Canis lupus familiaris: one gene and its partner. The protein of the gene in region 2 interacts with the protein of the main gene of each other region in a biochemical or structural test. Links are inferred from orthologs where the notes say so. Each region holds a gene or a part of one and is shown on either strand. Other genes may lie near its edges.

Region 1 (4,092 bases), on a different chromosome or scaffold from region 2:
TATGATAGACATAGAGAGAGAGAGAGAGGCAGAGGCACAGGAGGAGGGAGAAGCAGGCTCCACGCCAGGAGCCCAACGTGGGACTCGATCCCAGGACTCCAGGATCGTGCCCTGGGCCAAAGGCAGGCACTAAACTGCTGAGCCACCCACGCGTCCCCCCCTTTTTTAAAGATTTTACTTATTTTTTTATGAGAGATACACAGAGAGAGAGAGGCAGAGACACAGGCAGAGGGAGGAGCAGGCTCCACGCAGGGAGCCTGACGTGGGACTGGCTCCCAGGTCTCCAGGATCACACCCTGAACTGAAGGCAGCGCTAAACACCTCCTTTAAACAGCCTGGCCTGGAGCAGCCCCCGTGGCTCAGAGGTTTAGCGCCAACTTTGGCCCAGGGTGTGATCCTGGAGACCCAAGATCGAGTCCCATGTCATGCTCCCTGCGTGGAGCCTGCTTCTCCCTCTGCCTGTGTCTCTGCCTCTCTCTCTCTCTCTGTGTCTCTCATGAATAAATAAATGAAATCTCTTAAAAAAAACCAGCCTGGCCTGGCTGTGCCCTGACCTTTCTCTCCTCACCCTCCGTCTGTTCACATGGGTCTGACCCCACCAGCTGCCAGTGAGGAATTGATGCCCCAGGTCCCAGGCTCAGTGCCCACCTTTTGCCCCACACTCTCCTGGCTGAACCCCCACTGCCTCACCTGGACCCTGTTCTTGCACGTCAGGGAGATCTCCACGATGAAAACAGTCTCAGTGGAAATGACGGCATCCGAGGTGGTGTAGTAGGAAGGGGTGATCTGGGGCTCCACGCAGGCCTCCGCTGTGGGGAGGTAGACATACCTACGTAAGGCCCAACTCGTGGGTAATGGGCTGGGGGGCAGGAGGGACCACCCAGACCCACTTCCCAGACCTTGTCAGCTGGCACATGGGGCCCTTTGCAATCTGTCAGGTGGGGTGTGGGCAACAGATCCAAATGCTCAGTCAGAAATGCAGCAGTAAGTGGGGGGAGGGTGAGACAGTTTTGAAGGAAGGCTAGGCAGATGGGGCAGATAGAAAGGCTATTTTCAAAAGAAGAGCAAGGGAGAGAGAGAGAGGGAGGAAGGGAAGAGAAAGAGAAAAAGATTATGTGTTTATTGGGGAGAGGGGCAGCAGCAGCTGGATAGATTTACTGGACAACTGGTGCCTATGCCTCGACCTATGGACAGGGAAGCCATGCGATGACTCTGGGCTGCAGCCTGCCCTGGAACACCCCAGAAGCCCTAGGGGAGGGGCAGACAGACCTCAATTCAGAGCCACGCATGGCCCTGGTCAGTTTACTGAAGGCATCCTCCGCAGACAGCAAGCGTGGTGCTGCCTGCAATGCATGCAGGCTTGAGATGAAGGGGTCTCTGGCTCCAGCCACGGGTGATAGAAGGCCAAGACTGGACCCAGCATTTCCCAAGGGAAGGAAATGGGCCCAGTTTGTCCCCTTTAACAGGGCTGCCGGGAGAGAAAGGATGCTGCCTCAGCCACCTCCACATTGCTGGAGACTGAACTGCTACAGGTTAGGAAGGGCACTGCCTAAAACACAGGGTGCCAAGCAGATGCTAACCAGTGGGGAAGTTGTCAGCCAACTGCTCTTGGAATGTGTCCTGGCAGAGCCATGCATTAGGCTGAGACAGAGAAGCTCCTGAATCTGGGCTGGAGGAAGATGCCTGGGAACATCAGTAGGGAGTGATTGTCTGGAGCCACATATGTGGCTTCCACTAAGCTTGGCCTTTGCCCTATGGACCCTGAGGAACATCCAAGAGTTTCACAGCCAGGTTTGTCCTTTCCAGACATCGCAGGCTACACGGTGGGTAATCCCCAAGGGGAAGGTGAGGGGGGTGCAGGCAGGAATGCCAGTTAGGCTGATGAAACACTCCAGGCACCAAATGCTCTGGCCTGAGCAGGGCAGGTGAAGTGAATGTGAAGAAGGCATCCCCAACCGAGTCTAAGCACCCCCCAGGCTTAGCAGTGGTTCGGGCAAGGATCTCCTCCTAAACACACTTCTGGACTCCGGTTTGAGCTCAACCGTGCCACCAGGTGTTAAGAATCTCTCAAGAATGTTCATTGATCTGACTGTGGCTCAGCTCTGCTGAAAAGCCCCTTACCAATACACCAGGACCTCAGGGAAAAAGTCAACAGTCCGGCCTGGCACCCCAGCGCCGCACCCCCAATCTCTTCTACCTTTTTCCCCTCTTCTGATGCTCCTATCTAACTTGCCCATGCTCACGGTCCCTCTGCCTGGACCGTCCCTGCTTCCTCTCTTTACAGCTCCCTGCCTGGGGAGGCCTGGTCTCACCTCACCGGGTCAAGTGGCTCCTCTCCCCCCAGCCCAGTTTCTCACTCCGATCGCACTGCGCGGCAGAGTTTTGCTCTTGTCCGCCCCCACCCCCGCCCTCCGGGACTGGGAGCTCCGAGGGGGAACAGGGACATGTGTCACTTTCCTTGCTGGGGCTGGGAAGCGGGCGCACAGGGCAGGCTCTGGGGCTCTTCCTCGCGGGAGGAGACGGAAGGAATCTCTGGCTGTTTCCCCCGCAGCCTGGCCGCTGGCTAAACGGTCGCCGCGCCCCGAGGCCACCTGCCTCTCGGAGGAAGAAGGCCCAGAACCCTGCTTCGCCCGCACCCCTCCTCCCCCACGCACCACCAGTCGTGGGAAAGAGGCTCGCCAGAAAGGAGCCCCGGCCAGGCCGCTACCTGAGCAGCAGGAGAGGCTGGACAGCAGGAGGAGCGCCAGGGCGCCGAGGGATGCCAGCGCCGCCATCGCCTCTTCTCTGCCGAGGGAAAAAAGAGACCGACTCCCCTCGACACGAGGGACAGACGAGGAAGCACGACGCGTAAGCAGCAGCGGCAGCCAATCAGGCGCCCGCGGGCCGGGCGGGCCTGTGACGCCGCTGGCGGCACTGACGTGTCCCCTCCCCAGACCAGAGGCCCAGGTGGCCGCCCCACCAAGATGGCGGCGGCGGCGGCGGCAGCGGCGGCGGCGGCGGCGCTGTCCGCGCCGGAAGGGGGCGTGGGAACCGGCGCGGCCGTGCGCGTGCGCACTGCCGGGTCCGTGCTCGCTTCCGGCACTTCGCACCCTGCCGAACTCTCGCGAGAGCGGTGTCTCTGTGTCTGGACGTGCGACGGCTCTCACGTTCCGTCATGGCGCTGAAGGTGGCGGCGGTCGTCCGCGGCGCTCCAAAGGCGGTACTCAGACCCGCTCTCCTCTGCCGTCCTTGGGAGGTGAGAAGGGACAGCTGCGGCGCTCGCTGGCAGGCCACAGGCTTGCAGAGCGTCTTGGAGCCCGATTGGCTGTGGGCCCCGCGAGGGGCGGGGAGAGGGCTAGGCGCCGCACTTGATTGGCTGCCTCTGCTGTCAGTGAGGGGCTTGGGTAAAGTTGGCCCTCGTCCTGCTTTCCCAGGGGTCTGCATCTTGGGCGGGGGGAGCTCCGGACCGGCGAGGAGAGTGGGCAGCAACGGGCCAAGTGTCACCTCCTAGTGTCATTGTGGGAGCCTCGGGATCTTTGGTCCCGAGGCGGTCACGTGTCCCGGCCCGCGGGACTCTTGCCGTCTTAGGAATCCCGTTCCCAGTCCCCGTTCCTCCTCGGGATTTTCTCTTACGGACTGCTTTGTCGCTTGTCCCAGTGGAGTTGGAGAACCGGACTTTCCCGGTATCCCTGATACCACACCCTCCCCCTGGACATCTTTATAGCCCCAGATGCCTTCTCCCCGCAGGCGCCTGAAATGGAAGTGAGCTAGATTTTCTGAGACTGGGGAGGTGGGAAGCCGTGGGGGCTTTGCTTCCTCAGTTCTCCGTTTAGGATCTTGGTTATTCAGGTCTCATTCCTCTTTCTTTTCACACTTAAGCGAGGGTAGTTTACTCTGGGTGAGTCAGAAGCCATCGGAAGCATCAGAGAGCCCGGACTGGCTCTAGGGGTCAAGACGTATGACCTCCAGGCCTGGCTCCCCGCACTGACCCACAGTATGGCCACCCTCCTGTCTCTGAACTCCAGTTTCCCCTCCGGCTCAAAGGAACTAGCCAACCTTGACCTTCCAGAATCCTGTGACTTTGCTAACACACCTTGTGGACACATCTGCTAT
Region 2 (2,370 bases):
ATTCCTCAAATGTCCAGATTAATAACTGTAGCATGCTAAAGAAAGGTGCATGAAATAGCTGGAGATGGTCTATGGTCCAGAGTTCAGCATGACAGATCTCCCTTTCTGAGCACTCCCTCCGTTCCCCTAACCCGAATACATGCATTAGAATGTAGCAAAACCCTCGAGAAACTCCTCTTAGCCAACTGCAGACTTATCTGTTGCCACAAGTGCAAAGGGGTAGGATGTGAACCTGTATATCACAAAACTCTTTAGCCACTTCAGTTGGTGACAGAACACAAAATGAGAAATTCCTACGTATACACATCAGTCTGTCTCCACTTTTTATAAAACTGGAATAAAATGGGAAAGTGCCATCTTTATTTATCCTAATTGAATTTTCAATGTCCTTTTGACACAAAAAGGTATATACATGACACAGCTACACAACCTTTTTTCAACTGGACAACAAGTGTCAAAACCCCGTGGATGTATAGGGCAAAACGAGATTGGTCAGGAAGAGAGAATTGTTCCTATAACTGGTAATCTGACACAATGTCCTATTGCCATTAAAAAAAAAAGGTCCAATTTCAGTTTATTCAAGTTTGTTTTCATGGTGTTTTATCCCTCTTGATTAAAAAAAATTCAGACTTTTGTGATTTGTGTGTGCTGATCTTCATCAAAGGGTTCATTCTCTGGGTCAGAGTCAGTGGTGTCAGAATATCTATAATGATCAGGTTCATTGTCACTAACATCTGGCGTCACAGAAGTTGAACTGCTAGCCTCCGGGTTTGATGGCTCCTCTACAGTTTTTGTGAAGTACAGCTTCACCTAGAGAAAAAAAGGCAAAGTTTAAATGGAAAGTCCAGGAATCTGACTAATCTTAAATTACTTGGCAAAGATACATATTTTTAGCAGGTTCGTTTTTAAAAGTGCTGTGGCACACAGGATCTCGAAAAGGCAATGTCTTTTCAATGACCCTCTTCTTCAGTTTTCCTCTAGGTTTTCGTGTTACACACTGAAAACATACACTAGTTAACATACTCGTCTTTAATAAGCGGAAGCTGCAAGCATTAACTAATTCCACAAGAGATGCACAGAGACTGAAGTTCATCAGTCATTTACAAAATGTATTTTCAAACACAAAATTCAATGAAAAACAGCTGAGTTCCAAAAGAATGTTTCACTTACTACCTGTCTGAATCTTTGTGCATTTTCTGATACAAATAATACTAAACAAATACAAGTATTATAAAAACACTGAGCAATAATGATGGTTAGGATCTCATTAGCCCTCGAGGTTAAGAACAGCATACAACGATCTAAGGGCCTCTGCAGGCGGTGCTGAGTAACCTGTCAAACAACTCAACAAGGCAGGTATTTCCATCTGGGAGGACAGGAAGCTAAGGCCCAGAAAGGCAAGTAGGTAGTGGATGTGAGGTTTTGATAGGATCTGCCGTGAAACCCCTGCCCTGTTTTCCAATAATCAGCATCAATTCCCCTCATCTTACATCCAGCATCCGTTCCATCAGTAAATCCTTTCAGTTCCACCTGTAGAATGCCACCTCCACCCACTCTGATGGCTTCTCACTGCCCCACTAGCGCTGCCACCGCTAGTCCAAGCAACCACTATCTCCCGTCTGGAAGAGACCACTCTAGCAACTTCTTACCTCACCTCCCATCTCTGTTCTTGCCTCCTCTCCCTAACTTTCCTCTCCAGTCCACATTTTAAAAAATATTTTATTTATTTATTTATTTATTTGACAGAGAGATAGAGAGCGAGCATGAGCAGGGGGGAGAGGCTGAGGGAGAAGCAGAAGCAGGCTCCCCGCTGAGCAGGGAGCCCGATGTGGGGCTCGATTCCAGGACCCTGAGATCATGACCTGAGCCAAAGGCAGATGCTTCATGGACTGAGCCACCCAGGCACCCCTCCAGTCTACATTTTAAAGACAAAATTCAGATGACATCCTTCCTGTGCTGAAAACACCTCAATGTCTTCAGACTCCGACTGCCACGCTTTAGTCAAAACGACTGCGTATCTACTGCTCCCCAAACATATGAGAATTATTCCCGTCTCAGAGCTCTCATCCCAGGTATTTGTACAGCTCACTCATCTCATTTAGGCCTCCGATGAAATGTCACCTTCTCTTAACTACTGAGCTAAAACATACACCAAGGTCATTCTCTATCCCACTTCTACTTTCTTTGTTCATAAGTACTTACCATCATATATCTCTGCTTACTGATAATTGAAATAGTTTTTATTTGTAAACATAAATATTTAATCTTATTAAAAAAGGAAACAAAATAGCAGCAGTCACACTTTAAAAGCTATTAATTAAGGAAAATGCAGACTTAGGTAAAAGATAGTAATGGAAACCCACGGATTCC

Evidence for each region.
Region 1: the proteins of PTEN (region 2) and SSR4 form a complex in vitro, tested with the Homo sapiens proteins (2 studies listed by BioGRID). The link is inferred for Canis lupus familiaris from reciprocal best matches to the Homo sapiens genes PTEN and SSR4.

The regions. Positions count from the first base shown.
Region 1 is NC_049260.1:122,795,623-122,799,714, reverse strand, and holds the start of SSR4 (translocon-associated protein subunit delta precursor), read right to left. Parts: upstream 2,836-4,092; 5' UTR 2,775-2,835; coding exon 2,708-2,774; intron 810-2,707; coding exon 691-809; intron 1-690. Other genes in the region: IDH3G (isocitrate dehydrogenase [NAD] subunit gamma, mitochondrial), read left to right, coding at 3,155-3,235. UniProt on the Homo sapiens protein: TRAP proteins are part of a complex whose function is to bind calcium to the ER membrane and thereby regulate the retention of ER resident proteins.
Region 2 is NC_049247.1:38,200,551-38,202,920, reverse strand, and holds the end of PTEN (phosphatidylinositol 3,4,5-trisphosphate 3-phosphatase and dual-specificity protein phosphatase PTEN), read right to left. Parts: intron 811-2,370; coding exon 625-810; 3' UTR 549-624; downstream 1-548. UniProt on the Homo sapiens protein: Dual-specificity protein phosphatase, dephosphorylating tyrosine-, serine- and threonine-phosphorylated proteins.